2 linked regions of the Oreochromis niloticus genome follow. The protein of the gene in region 1 purifies or fractionates together with the protein of each later gene. This does not show direct contact. Links are inferred from orthologs where the notes say so. Each region holds a gene or a part of one and is shown in the gene's direction. Other genes may lie near its edges.

The links. The genes of interacting proteins can lie anywhere in the genome.
Region 2: the proteins of ap2a1 (region 1) and eps15 purify together in Homo sapiens (affinity purification with western blotting; 5 studies listed by BioGRID and IntAct, with this or other methods). This does not show direct contact. The link is inferred for Oreochromis niloticus from reciprocal best matches to the Homo sapiens genes AP2A1 and EPS15.

Annotation. Positions count from the first base shown.
Region 1 is NC_031969.2:2,263,664-2,271,313, forward strand, and holds the start of ap2a1 (AP-2 complex subunit alpha-2), read left to right. Parts: upstream 1-4,629; 5' UTR 4,630-5,407; coding exon 5,408-5,474; intron 5,475-7,650.
Region 2 is NC_031986.2:43,764,430-43,772,448, reverse strand, and holds the start of eps15 (epidermal growth factor receptor substrate 15), read left to right. Parts: upstream 1-5,011; 5' UTR 5,012-5,152; coding exon 5,153-5,179; intron 5,180-7,962; coding exon 7,963-8,004; intron 8,005-8,019. Other genes in the region: calr (calreticulin), read left to right, coding at 1-46, 590-691, 941-1,144, 1,262-1,356, 1,530-1,739, 1,881-1,994, 2,183-2,326, 2,562-2,654 and 1 more. UniProt on the Homo sapiens protein: Involved in cell growth regulation. May be involved in the regulation of mitogenic signals and control of cell proliferation. Involved in the internalization of ligand-inducible receptors of the receptor tyrosine kinase (RTK) type, in particular EGFR.

The DNA of each region.
Region 1 (7,650 bases):
AGGATTGTCCCGTCTTGCCTATGCTGCCCAGTCTTCATATGTGGAGTCATTAATCTGAGGACAGAATGATACTTGACTTCTTATGGAAACAAAACACATGAGCTGCAAAAGCCTGTTGTTTCCTTAGCTTGACTCGCTCTTCTTGGAAGGCTTTCTGACCTTAATATGAGTCAGTGTTTCTGCTGCTGAAAACAGATGTGATGATGGTGTAGATGTTAATAATTAATATTAATAATAATTCAGCGTCCAACCTAACAACCCTCAGCTTAGTGGTTCAGAGTGGGCCCATGTGCATTTCTACTGGCTTTTATTTCTATATTTGAAAGAATAATACAATATCTGATATTATTGTCACGAAAGCCTTGAAATAAATATGGTCTAGTATACCCAACGCCCCCTTTAGACATGGAAACAAAGAAATTGTGTCGAGAATGTTTTAGAGTGATTTGAAGTACTTGATGAATCATTTTTGTATTTAATTCAACAGAAGCTTCTTCAACATAAATCCCAGCCAAAGATGATGAAGGGCAGAAGAACATGGAGCAGGCGGTTGGTGGTCTTCTTCTCTGACATGAGGTGAATGTGCTCTCATCTGTGAAGACGGCGGGATGCCGGTGGCAGACAAGCCAGTTCAGTATTCTTTGGGCAATGTCAGATAATCTGCATGGTTCTGTACTGTGAGAAGAAGTAGTTCCACTAAAGGACTGCCAGTGTTTGTTCTGTTCCTACTTGCACAGAGACACTGAGGCCCAGCTGATGCCTTTCTACAGCCCTGTCTTGTCCTACTTTCTTCTGTAACAGCCTATCCCCTGGTATTTCTACCACAGTATTGAAGCTGTGCTTGGAGACACACACTTCTTCCAGCTGCACCTATGGACATGCCATGGACTGTGGGCTGCTTCTGCACTGTTTCACAGTAACCCTAAACTGTACCTAGACTGAAACATTGCTGTCGACATGTGTCCAAATATCTTTAGGTGTCTGCAGGAACAGGGAAACTTCCCATCTTCAGTGTAACTCAGTGGTTTCATTGACAGGTTTTTAAACTTTGAATTCTGTTGGGTTTTATGGCTCATTAAAAGCCGTTTGAACAGAGCACTGTTTCTTTTTCATAACACATTGTTAAAGGTTTTCTGTTGTGGTCTGTTTGTCAACAGAATGAAATTTTGAGGTACAGGAAGTAAGTGTGTCCTGACTGTTTAAGAGTTGTCATTGTCAATCAAATGACTCTGATCAAATTTCTGCACGAGAGCACATGTGGGGTTGATGAAAACTAGGGAAGTGCGTGACTAGTCGAATAATCAAGGTCGCTGTCACTAAGTGGTTTAGAGCACTTCGCTCTCACACTGCAGGCCTACTTGTTGTTCGTAGAGTATTTAAAAGTAGAATGGGAGGCAGAGCCTTCAGTTTTCAGGCCCCTCTTCTGTGGAACCAGCTTCCAGTTTGGATTCAGGAGACAGACACTATCTCTACTTTCAAGATTAGGCTTCAAACTTTCCTTTTTGCTAAAGCATATAGTTAGGGCTGGACCAGGTGACCCTGAATCCTCCCTTAGTTATGCTGCAATGAGGCTGCAATAAAAAAAATCCTGTTTTCCTTCTCTCACCCCAACCAATCACAGCAGATGGCCCCGCCCCTCCCTGAGCCTGGTTCTGTCGGAGGTTTCTTCCTGTTAAAAGGGAGTTTATCCTTCCCACTGTCGCCAAAGTGCTTGCTCATAGGGGGTCATATGATTGTTGGGTTTTTCTCTGTATGTATCATTGTAGGGTCTACCTTACAATGTAAAGCGCCTTGAGGCGACTGTTGTTGTGATTTTTAGCTGTATAAATAAAATTGAATTGAATTGGTATAGAATAGAATAGAATAGAATAGCCTTTATTGTCATTGTACAGGGTACAACGAAATTGGAGTGCAACTCCCTTGGTGCAAAAATACAATAATAAATATAAATGTAAAATATAAAAGGTGCAATAAAACAAACAATAGTAAGTACAATATATACAGGATAGCAGCATTAATATAATGACAGTATGAATAGCAGCATAATATAATGACAGTGACAATATGGAGTAGCTAAGCAGTTTCAATTGTTTTTGTGCTTATTTACTACGGTGATAGCTCTGGGAAAGAAGCTATCCCTGAATCTGTTTGTCCTGGTTTTATGTGACCTGTACCGTCGGCCTGACGGTAATAGTTCAAACAGCTGATTGCTGGGGTGAGAATGGTCCTTGATGATATTGCCAGCTCTGCTGAGGTACCGAGAGTTTGCAATGACCTCCAGGCTGGGCAGAGAGCAGCCAGTGATCTTCTGGGCTGTGTTGATGACCCTCTGCAGTACTTTCCTGTCTGCAGCAGAGCACCCTGCATACCATGTTGTTATGCCGTACGTTAGGATGCTCTCTATGGTGGCTCTGTAGAATGTCACCAGCAGCCTCTCCTCCAGGTTGTTCCTCCTGAGCACTCTCAGAAAGTGGAGACGCTGCTGGGCCTTTTTTACCACCGCCGTGGTATTTGCAGTCCAGGAGAGATCATCAGAGATCTGCACGCCCAGAAACCTCATGGAGTGCACCCTCTCCACACAGCTCCCGTGAATGTACAGTGGGGCCGGGTCTGCTCTGCCCTTCCTGAAGTCCAAGATAAGTTCTTTAGTTTTCGTGGTGTTCAGTTGGAGGTTATTAACTGAACACCACTCAGTCAGTCTGTTGACCTCATCTCTGTAGTCCGACTCATCCCCCCTTGAGATGAGTCCAACCACGGTGGTGTCGTCCGCAAACTTTATGATGGTGTTTGAGAGATGGGTAGGGGAGCAGTCGGATGTGTAGAACGTAAACAGGAGGGGACTCAGAACACATCCTTGTGGAGACCCGGTGCTGAGTGTGATGGTGCTGGACAGGTGGGGGCCGAGTCTAACAGACTGTGGTCTGTTTGTCAGGAAGTCCTTGATCCAGAGGCAGATGGGGGTGGAGAGTCCCAGGTGAGACAGTTTCTGGACCAGGATCTCTGGGATGATATGATTAAATGCTGAGCTGAAGTCCAGGAAGAGCATTCTCACATAGCTTCCTCTGTGCTCCAGGTGACTCAGCGCAGTGTGGAGCGCTATGGTGATAGCGTCCTCGGTGGATCGATTAGTCCTGTAGGCAAATTGGTGGGGGTCCAAAGTGGGAGGCAGACTGGCCCTGATGTGCTGACAGACCAGTCTCTCAAAGCACTTCATCACTACAGGCGTAAGTGCAACAGGCCTGTAATCATTTGGGCTGACCACAGCTGTCTTCTTGGCGATGGGGATGATGGTGGAGGTTTTGAGGCAGGGTGGGACGGTGTTTAATGACAAGGAAAGGTTGAAGATTTTAGTGAAGACTCCGGTCAGTTCGTCAGCACATGCTCTGAGAACCTTTCCATGTATTCCATCAGGACCTGCCGCCTTCCTGGGATTCACTGACCTTAGAGCACACCTCACTTGATGCTCCCTAAGTGTTAGTGTGCCGGTGCTGGGGGCGGGTGGAAGTGGTGTGACAGCTGAGGGCCTGGTCGTCTCAAAGCGGGCGAAGAAACGATTTAGATCCTCAGCCAGCGAGGCATCAGTCCTAGATGTCGCCTGGTTATTGCTTCTGTAGTTGGTAATGTGATTGATCCCCTGCCACATTTTTCTGGGGTCGTTGTCAGCAAAGTGATCTTCAATCCTCCTCCTATAGGCAGCCTTAGCTTTCCTGATGCCTCTACTCAGGTCTGCCCTGGCCGCCCTGTACGCAGCCCTACAGTATCAGACATACTAGTGGTTTAATCTAATGATTAACATTTTAATTGATGCTCAGTGCTGCATGTTGCATCTCCAAAAGTTGAATCTGTTCATCTGGACGTAGCGTTTGGTGGGAGAAACGTTTCGTCACTCATGCATGTTGCATCCTAAATGTTATGGAGCCATCTGCTGCCAGCTGCCACAGAACTACAGCATCGTTGTAGATCAGTGTCCTAATGCTGTTAATCTAAGACCTGATCTTTTTGGTAGGCATGTTATTGGTTTCAAATGCCTTTGTTTAGACACTTTTTGACCCTGTCCATTAAACGGTCCTAAGATGGATTATCTGAGTGCCCCAAATAACTGAACATGCGGGTAAACAGACACATTGCACGCGGACCAATGAATACCTGCGCAGGTGAAATTGCATGTCATTTGCATTTGATGTTTTCAGTTCTTACATAATTATTTAAAACAATAACGTCTGTTATTGTTAAATCCTCACTGCACAGTCTTGCACAAACTGTAAATACCAAAAATGATTCTCTTAATATTTAATACTTTAGTATTTTATTATTTTTTTTTATTTTATTATATGTTCTTTCTTAATATACCTGTACACATGTACATGTTCATGTAAAGCTGAGGAACACGAGCATTACAGGTAAATGTTGCTACACTGTTTATCTGTATATGACAATAAAACTATTGTCGACTGGACACTACAGCTTAGCACTGTTAACACGAAAGCCAACTTTTAGCATACTTTCATCGGGCCGGCTTCCCTGCCGCTCAGTTGTAGCCTGTTTTCCATACAAATGGCTTCATGGCAGAGGTGCACTGTGTTGGTGCAGCGGCAGCCACATATCGCCGCAAGTTGTCCAATCAGCAATAGGGTCCACTCGAACGACGAAAAGGAGCGTAGGCGTTCACGGGTGTGCTGCGCGGTCACGTTATTCTGCTGTCACGAGCCTGATCCGAGCCGTACAGTGGAGGCTAAAGAATTGGAGCGGACATCAGTTATACAGGACGTAATATTTTTAACCAAATTTAGTGCGCGAATAGAGAGCTCAAAGAAGTCTTACCGCTGGTTGGTATTTGAGACGCTCTACTGAGTTATTCCGATCAACCGGTGATGTACTCCAGTATTTGAATGATATTGCTAGTCAGCTAGCTAGCTAGCTAGCTGTTAAGCTAGCTTTACGTTGCGTGACTCGAAGTAATTGAAGAATATACTCTCGGACAGCATTCTTACTAACACGTCTGAGTGCATTTATCTTTAAGACATTTATCAGTAGCCGTTTTTATCTTTAGCACATTTTTGTGGTATGAGTTATACGTAATTTCTAATCCAAGGTAGATGAGGATTGAATGAAATAACGTTAGCTTGCCATAGCCAAGGAAACAAGCCAGCTAACAGGGATAACGTTAACTTATCCCGCTGCTTGCTGATAGACTGCCATCCAGCGGATCTAGTAAATGCTACCTGAATTACCCACCTAAAAGCATCGACCGAACTTGGTAGGCAGCAGTCAGTCACAAAGTTGCAGAGAGGCAAACGGCTACTACCAAACATCAAGTTTGCCATCGTCGACTCCAGTCCGCTGTGAAACGGTGACCGGCGTCAGTGTTTTTCGGAGAAGGCCAGAGTGAGGACAGAAACCTGCAGACATGCCGGCTGTGTCGAAAGGAGATGGAATGCGCGGATTGGCCGTTTTCATTTCGGACATTAGAAACTGTGAGTTACCTTTCTTTATGCTACTTCATCATATGTGTTATTATTTCATTGTGTCATCAAAGTTGACATGGCTAATCTCATACATCATGCAGTGTTGTCATGTGGTATCCTCGACGCAGAAAGCTCTATCTACTTTTTTTAAAAATCAGTTTCGTAACGTTTAGTGGAACAATCAATATGATTTCTCACGTATTGACAGTAATGTGACTGTGGTGAAGTCACCTGCAGGAACAGAATAAAGGATGTTAGGCTTGGAGTAGCAGCTCTGATCAAACGTTTCCTGTTGTATAGTTGTACATGTTGGAAAGCTCGGCGACGAAAGTTCAATTCGCATTTGAAAATTTAGTGTCGTGTCAGGACGCTCCACATGTCTGACAGGCAAGGAAGACTGAAGCTTAAACGAAAACCAGTGGTTGGTATTTAAAACAACAACAATAGTATCAGTGATTACAAGTATAAATAAATAATAATAAATAATACTATTACGTGTAACAAAATGCTACATATTTCCAGCAATTCACTGTCTGTTTTTTTTTGTCAGTTTCCCAGTAATATTTATTCCAGTGATGACGAGAATGCCAGTTTTCACTGTTACTGAGTAGTAACAAGAATTTAGGAAGTAGTTTCCATCTCCTCTTTCCTTTTTGCCGTGATTACACATTTCAGTGTTTGTCACTGCAAACCTAACAGCTACTCCGGGCTTACATTGACAGGCAGTAATGGCTACTTCATGGTGGAATATTTGATACCTCCAGCTTTCATCAGAATCTGAAGTACACTGTATTGTTCTGCCTTTGGGCACGTTTAAAGAAAAATTCAGCAGAAAATAAAAATGTGTGACCTACAACTAGTGTAAATGTTCAAGGTGACGAATATTGCAAACATTTGCAGTGTCGTCTAGATGACTTGTTTTCAAACGTGCTGTGTCAGTAGGGCACCAAAGGGCAGGCAGACCTCTCCAAACACATGTGATTTGTAGCCTTGGGAAATAGACTTGATTACATGTTATCAAATACTCATTTGAAATAAATAGTAATAACATGACAGGTTGTATTGGAATGTTATTGACAAAAGCTTGTGAGAATGAATTTGAGTCTTGTTATGTCGGCAACAAACTTATGTAAATCAGACAGTGAACTGGTTGATTTGAGTCTTTTTATTTCATTTTAAGCACTTTGAGGTATTGCATGAGGTGTATCTGTGCTAACGGAAGCCTGTTAGAAACAGTTGTCTGCTGCCTGTCCAGTTGGGGAGTGTACCACTTTTTGGACAGATGGTAGTTAGAAAGCTTTAACTCATCAGCCATGCTGGTTGGTAGCTGTCTATCACTGTTTGAGCAGGAAGGCGGGCTGCAGGGTGACAGCCCATGATTAAATCCCATTCATTTATCATGATCATCATTGCTTTTCATGGTAAAAATGTTTTTTAGTGACAAGCTCTTTGCCTTCTGCTGTTCCAGTGTTGCTTATCATTATACCTGTTTAAGCAGAAAGTAGATCTGTCTTTAATTGTAATGTTACTTGTTCAGACTAAACACAAATTAGGTCAATAATTGGCAAATGCAGGCACGTGGTCAGGCAGTGGTTTAGGGAGAGCTTGTTGTGGCAGAACATGCATTTTCAGTATTGTGTGATCATGTTCGATTAATTATGGCCAGCCAAAATCATGATCAAGACCCTATTGTGACTGTTCTGTTTAATAAGGCCTAAGCACTTAAAGTTCAGTTCAATTTTATGAACATGACATCAATTGAAAACAATAGTTGCTTCATATTGTAAAGTAAAGGTGGCATGGAGATTTTGCCATGAAACAGGAAGTTGTGAAATCTGGTAGTGTAATGTCCCGAGATGGGCCATAGCCTGAACCCAGCTGAAGTCAGCTATTTGGCAACATTTTGAGGCTTTGTATTTGAGGAAACTCCTCGTAGGGATCTTACTGAATCAATTCCTTGGTCAGTCTAAAGTGCGATTTTAAAATGGTATATTTTTTTCTGCAGGAACATCCTAAAGCCTTCCAGTTCATTTATTTAAGCTCACAGTAGAGCGGGACTAAATATTGATACAGAAATGTGTCATCTTCCTTTTGCGATACTTTATCAACACACCATTGTCAAATATCAGTGGTGACCAAGCCTGAATGTTCATCCAATATGCAGGCTCTCTAATTTACCTCACTC
Region 2 (8,019 bases), on another chromosome or scaffold:
CTGGCCGAGTCCACAGTTTATTTCCGCGAGCAATTTGAAGACGGCGGTGAGCTCTTTCACACAACATTACACAGATAGGATTGAAGTGCTTGCTTTTCTTTGTTGCTGCTGTACATCTTCGAGATGCTGTGGTGCTGACTGAGATGAATGATGGCTATTTTTCATGTCCGCATTGTTACGATTATTTCTCATGATTTTACTGCAATTTCTGGAATGCATCGTCAGCTGATTAGTCTAGAAGACCAACCGATCATTCATCCATTCATTGATTTATTCATATTTCGTGCTTTATGTTTCCCAGCCCTCAAAGCTATTATCACACCCCGTCTGCCTCCCCCCTCCCCCCACTGCTGCACATCTCTCCCCTGGTCATTCACTGCTACCCTCCTTCTCCCAGCTGTCCTGTTCTTTCATCTGTGAAGGCAGTCACAAAATCCCGCAGTATGCCCCCCACCCACCCACCCACCCACACACACACACACACACACACACACACACACACACTGTATCGAAGGCTGGATTAACAGAGAGTTTTGCGAGTCTTGTCTTGGTGATTGCTGGGCAGCTGACTCTGAACCTGTTTGTGCAGATGCCTGGATGAGTCGTTGGGCGGAATCCAAGCACAAGTCCGATTATGGGAAGTTTGTCCTGACTGCTGGGAAATTCTACGGTGATGAAGAGAAAGACAAAGGTAAGCAGGAAGGTGCTGATATGTGTTGCACAATTACACTGTACAACCCTGTCAGACACCTGCTGTCAGAGGCGCGTGTTTGCTTCCTCGTGGAGCTCTGCCAGTATCAACACGACCGTCTTCCTCTCTGTTCTTCAACTTGAAAAGAGCAAAAGCATCAAATTAGGCCGTACTGTTTCATTAAGAAAGAACAGGAGTACGCGCTGGTTTAGCTTGATCTTCCCTGCAGTAACACCATTGTTTCTGCAGGTCTGCAGACGAGCCAGGATGCCCGTTTTTATGCACTGTCAGCCCGTTTTGATGACTTCAGCAACAAGGGCCAGCCTTTAGTCATACAGTTCTCTGTGAAACACGAGCAGAGCATCGACTGTGGCGGAGGCTACATTAAACTGTTTCCCTCCAAGCTCAACCAGGAGGACATGCACGGAGACTCTGTCTACAACATCATGTTTGGTAAGTGGACCAAAGGATGGTGTCTTAAATGGTATTACTTTTGTTGGATAAACAGAGCAGTGTCTGTTTGTTATACACAGACATTCACCGTCACTTTGTATTTGTGGGCTCATTCAGGTCCTGATATTTGTGGCCCTGGCACAAAGAAAGTTCACGTGATCTTCAACTACAAAGGCAAGAACCACCTGATCAACAAGGACATTCGGTGCAAGGTGACGCATGTTTTCACGTTTAAGTAGGAAAGCTAGTTCTAATAAAAAGCACCACAATATAAGGACACACGAGATTAAACAATTAAGAATAAACTACATGGTAATATGCTGTTAGTTGCATGTATTGACGGCACGCTTTTTCCAACAATATACCTTTTTTTTCTGCCCTGCAGGATGATGAGTACACCCACTTGTACACACTGATCGTCAACCCTGACAACACTTATGAGGTTAAGATAGACAATAAGAAGGTGGAATCTGGCAATCTGGAGGATGACTGGGACTTCCTCCCTCCCAAAAAAATCAAGGACCCTGAGGCCAAAAAGCCAGAGGACTGGGATGACAGGGAGAAGATTCCCGACCCTGACGATAAGAAACCTGAGGTCAGTATGACCTGCCATTCTTTCAGGGCATCACTTTAATGATAGTACTTGTCTCACGTGTGCAACACTGTTTTAATTTTTAAAATGTTTCGATAGGTTGATCATGTTTCAGATGTTTTGTTGTTTTTGTTTTCATTGCAGGACTGGGACAAACCAGAGAACATCCCAGATCCTGATGCCAAGAAGCCCGATGACTGGGATGATGAGATGGATGGAGAGTGGGAGCCACCGATGGTCACGAACCCTGAATACAAGGTGCATATCCAGAGATTATAACTCTTCATGCAGTCAGTATTTACTCTGTGCTATTTTTCTGAGCTTTGCACATCAGCGAGATTCCTAGAATAGGATTGGAATATTATCCAAAAATATTTACACTGTTTAGACTGTCAGCCGCTTTGTGTTTTAACCCCAGTTTCTCTGTGTGTGTTTGCTGTCCGCAGGGTGAGTGGAAGCCCAGAGAGATCGACAACCCTGCCTACAAGGGCAAGTGGATCCACCCTGAGATTGACAACCCCGAGTACACGGCCGATTCTGAGATCTATAAATACGACAGCGTCGGGGTGATTGGGCTCGACTTGTGGCAGGTAAGCTGGATGTGTATTTACATCTTAATGCATAATGAAATATATTTAAATATTTTAAAACTATTTACATTGATCCAGCAATTCGGTTACTTGCTTTGTATTGTGTGAGCTGCTGGAAAAACTATGCATGTTTTCTCAGGGAGAAATGCTCGAAACTCTTTGAGTTTGTGGATTGTGCTTGTTTTCTTTAAAGATTTGATAACAAAATATGCGTTGCCCTTGTGTCTGGCTGCAGGTCAAGTCTGGGACTATCTTTGACAACTTTCTAATCACAAACGATCCAAACCTGGCAGAGGAAGTTGGCAACGACACATGGGGCAAAACTAAGGTATGCTCATTTTAGCCCTGTACCCTGTAATCCTAATTCTAATTTCATGTCAGTGTCAACAATAATAAGAAGGAATGAGCTTTTCATATAGATTGATATATTTATTTGCATTGTTCACATTTTCTCCAGGATGCTGAGAAGAAGATGAAGGAAAGCCAAGAGGAAGACGAGAGAAAGAAGCGCGAGGAGGAGAACAAGAAGAGGAGAGAAGAGGCAAAGGAGGAGGATGAGGAGGAAGAGGAGAAGGAGGAGGATGAGGAGGACGAAGAGGAGGAGGAAGGGGAAGAGCATGAGGAAGAGGAGGAGGAAGAAGAGGAGGAGGAAGGCACAGACTCTAATCTCAAGGATGAGTTATAAACTCAGGAACTGCTCAGACTGTGTCAGTGGGCCGTTGGAATAAGGCTGAAGACTGAGACCCTGATGACTGACACCCCGGGGTGGGGGCTGGGTGGGAAGGGCTTTTTCCATTTCTTTGTTTACAAAGCAAGGTGATCGGTCAGAAAAGGGCAATTAAATGTTCTGTTTCTTGTTTCCATGTGCTACTACTACTATTATAATGATGATTATTAAATGAGGACTAGTGATAAGCATAATTAATGTCAAAATGAATGTCAAAACCAGAAATTTTAACACAAATGTGTGAATTGTCATTTACATTTTACAAAATCTGGGTTGTTATGAAGTGTAATATTGTGATGAGATGAGAAGTTTTATTTGGTATGGAGGTGGTGGTACCAGGAAAACGTTTGGTTTACCTCACGTGTTTTTTTTGCCTTTAATTTTTTATTTTTGTACATTTTTCTTTCACTCATTCCTGTCAGGCTGGAAAGATTAGATAAGATTCGATGTTGTCATGCAGGTTATTTTGCCTTCTTCTGTTTCCACTATTCAAACGAGGATTGTTGGCACGGCGACCAGAGTGCAGTAGGACTAACACTATATTTGACAACCTGATCAAAAGTGAAAAAAAATTTAAAAAAAATCAGTCTGCAGTGGGATGGTAATATGAGGTGCTTTAAGATGAAGTCCCTTGCATAGTTTTGTACTGTATAGGTAACACTTTTTCCACTTCAGTGCACATACTATAGTCTCGTGTGTCTAAATAAGCTCTACTCAAACTTAGGATGTACATTAAGACCACTCCGGTAGCAGAACATTTGGTCGTTTGGTACGCACACACTTTAGGTTTCCTCACCGTTCGTGTATACGTCTAGTTTCCTGATTTTTGATTCCAAGTTTTCTGCACTGCTGTACCCCAACGCACTGTCCCAACCGTCTGACAGAGGCTCCTTTTGTAAAAGACATTTTGTACTAATGGTAGTAAATGAAGTGGGGCGATTTTTGTGTTGCTGTGTAAAATAAAAACAAAGGCAGGTGATCTGTCCAATAAAACAGCCAGAAGAAAACAATGAAAAGATCTTTGTGAAATTTGTGTCTTTTGTGTGTGTGCGTTATGTTTTATTTATCTGTTCTCCCTTTTCCCCTGGCTGGGTTTTCTCCAGATTCCTCCCAGAGTCCAAAGACTGAATTAATTTGTTATTATGTAGGTGATGGCCTGGTTAGGGCTGACCCCTTAATTTTGACCCATGACAACTGGGACAGGCCACAGCAGAAGAACATGGATGGATGAATTTTAATTTGGTTCCTTCATTTGATTTAGATATCTGTTCAAATTTGGCAATCATTTGAATTTTACTGCTCACCGGGCTCATCAAAGGTTACACTACAGTTTAAACTAGAGGTTTAAGCTAAACTACAGTTTGCAGTACCTGGGTATACTTCAGCTTAATTTACATTTGAATCTTCTCCTTTCGTCTGTATTTTATTATCTACTCACAAAGATTATCACAGTTAAATAAAATTAGACTAAAAACTAAGACTAGGTGAACAAAAACTGTCTGATGAGGCTTTTTAAAATTTTCTTTAAATTGTCATTAAATCACCTGCCTCCTTAAAACAAGAATGCAAAACTAAGCAAAATAATAAAAACTAATATGAAAATGAGAAGCTCAATAGATTGACAAAATAACAGATTTTAACAGTTCATTTTTTGTCAATTTTATTCTACTTTGAAACAAAATTGATCATAAAACGTAAAGTCAGACTTACAAAATTTGATGTGTTTCACTAATGTTCGAACTTAAATAAAAATGTGTTTGGTCGTAGTGGATATTCTACTTATTTATATATTTTTAAATGCCTAATATATTAGACATTTAAAATATATTTTAAAACGACCCATAGAAAAATAAATTGCCGATAGCAAAATGACGCAACTAAAAGTAAAGAAATTCATAGAGTGGGTGTGTCAAGTCTTTATTTGTCATTTATCTCTGCAAGCCTTGGCTTTTGTTATTTGTGTACCTCCTCGCAGGGATGCAGGGACGGTGAAGCTCTGAGGGGAGGTCGGTCCCTGAGGTCTGGCTTCAGGGTTTTCAGCGGCCTCTACCGCTGCCTGTCGTCGGCGCAGCTTGAAAGCGGTGGGAAACAGAAACACTATGGCTTCCAGTCTGTCTCTTACTCAGGTAACACTGTCTTACAACTCAAATATAACGACAGCAAACGCTTTCTGCCCTCTGCCTGTTACGCTCGGAGATGTTTCGGCAGCGTCGGTTAAACCTGGCTGAAAGAATCGCGGGCTTTCTTTGATTCTGGTTCCTCTTTTGGAAGTTTAGCCCTGCTGTGACTGGGAAAAGTTTCTTCCTAATCTCTTTGGGGACTGCGTAAGGGCGTAGCTAGCTAGCTAGCCTGCTAGCTAACAGCTAGTTTGTGACCAGTGTTGGGCTGTTTTAGAGTCGCTTTATCAAAGTTGAGATAAACCGTGTAAGCTAGCGCTGCTCGTCTTCGTTTCCTTTCGGGTGTTTTCTAATCGTATTTAGTGCTGCCCGGTTTGCTGCAGGCTATTTGGGTGTTGGGCTGCCCATGTGTGGCTCTACTGTCACATTTCTGCTACTTCAGCCTCTGCTAACATTGTTTTCCTCTGATAAAGCACTCAAGCCATATACAGTAAAGCTTGTAGCCTATGTGTTGGATTTTCTTGCCGTGTATGTAGCTTTGTTACATGGTTAGACTGAATAGGCAGCCTGGTTATTGCTATTATTAGAAGTAAACATGCTTCGGTGACTGGCTTGGTGTCTTTCCCCCCTGTCACCTTTCAAAAGTGGACAGCGTTAACAGTTAGCCTGTTAGCTGCTGCTGTTAACAAATAGTTAATAGAGAAAACTCCTCATATCGTTAGCTGTTATGTTGCAACTAGCAAGAGGAAGTGAATTGAACAAGCCACTAGCCACCTCTACTGTCGTAAAAGGCTGCACAGTTGCTGCTAGCTAAATTAAGTTCTAAATAATGTAGCGTCAGAATGTGTCTGTGTTGTTTAGGAGGCGACGGGCAGGTTAAATTAGCAGCTTTAGGTCGTGGACTTGTTACCTGAGCTGCCGTTACTTCCAGCAACAGACAGGAGTTGCCTGCCAGCAGCAGCTTTGAGATCCTTGTCTCTCAAATGACTTGAAACCTGTGTTTATCTGTGAGCTGTGGGAGTTCATTGGCCTGTCAGGCACCAGTGCTTGTTGTAAGTGTTCCTGTCAGATGCCCGATAATCTCCAAACTCGCCTCATGTTTGGTGTTGATAGTGACATCAGTGTGCTTTATTACCATGGGTGGTTATAATCTCTAGAACAGTCTAGCCTGTCCCGCCAGCTCCTGCGCCCTGATGTTTCTGGCTATCTGCTGCAGTTTTGTATGGGCTAGCTGGGGGATGAGTGAGGGGTGTTTTTTCAGTGCTCAATTAAAGTCACCAGTACAAAGACCACAGTGTTACAGACGCCAACAGTCCCAGGCACAGTATTGTGTGTCATAGGGGAAAAGAAAAAAGTTGCATTGACTAGAGAAAGATATGTGTGTGTCAACAGTTATTTCACTGTAAACTGGTGGGTGAAAAAGCTGACTGATAACTTTGCTTTTTATGTGTGCGAGTTGTTTTTGGTGTCAGATCTAAGTCTGTTTTACAATAGAGAGTAATCTCACATGTCTCTGAAAGCCTTAACCTCCTTTGACTAGCCACTCCCTGGTTGATTCACACTTGAAACAATTACTGTCCATCCCTTTCCTCCCTTCCTTGCACCTGCCAATTTGAAACCAAACAACCAGCTGTCAGTTTCAGCTACACAAATAAGGAAGCACTGCTTTATTTCCTCTTTAGTCCAACAGTAGACATTTTTCTTAACAGAGGAAAGAGGGGCGTTTAGGGAGGACATGACAGAAGGCCAGACTAACTGTTGCCTTTGGAGTGACGCCTTGTAAATGCCTAAAGCTGACCAGGGGGCCCCAGGAAATGTAGCCTGCATCCTGAAGTTATCACAAAAGTTATCACTCTCTCTGCATGCAACTCAGCATAAACCTTCTGGTGTATTCTGAGTCATCCATCCATTCTCCAGAGTATTTGTGTCGATGTTTACGTGGAAATGCAGAGTAGCTTTTCAATGAAACAGTCAGCTGATTAATCGAAAAAGGATTCAGTTGTTTGGAAAAGCGAAAATGGCAAATATTTTCGCAGCCTCAGTGACATTTAAACAGTTTCTCTTTGTATTAATTGAATATATTTAGGTTGTGGCTTGTTTTTGATCAGATGCTCAGGTACATCAGCATTTTCAGACATGTTTTATTTCAACTCAAAAAGACACAATAGCTGCCTCATTTTAGTAGGATAGATTGTGGTAATTAATTAACAATGCTGCATAAATACGGATTTTTCTAAGCAAAATTACACAATATTTGATGTGCTTACATGGCAGGTAGTAGGAAAGTTTAAGAAATTGCTATTTTTAGGCATTTGTTAGGAGTAAAAGTTGGATTTATTGTAATTATAAGCAGCTGACTTATGAATGATGAAAACTGCTGCACCTGATTGCTACTCATTGTCATAGATGCTATATTGTTTTTGTCTTTATTTGTTATCCTACCTGTAACACAGCCATTATAAACTTTTTGGTTTTGCAGTCACACTGTGGCTTCTTTAATGGTAAAACGTTCTACTAAATGAGTCATTTAAGTCATTTTTCTTAGCTGTTTTTAACATATTTAGCCAGTGGCTATACTTGGAGCTCAAACAAGCAGCTCTTTAACTGTCTCAGTGGATGACAAACTTTCTGTAGCCGTCAAACTCTTGTTGGTTGTTTCAGAGCTAACTTTGAAAAATCATTTGAACGATTAGTGTTAGATTGTTATAAGGAACATTTTTGAATTTAGGTAAAAATGACTGTGTTTTAAAAATCTCTCAACTGTTTTTATTCTTCTCTTTCTCCGTAAACAGCTCTCCAGTGGAAACCCCATCTATGACAAATACTATCGTCAGGTATGCCATCGTATC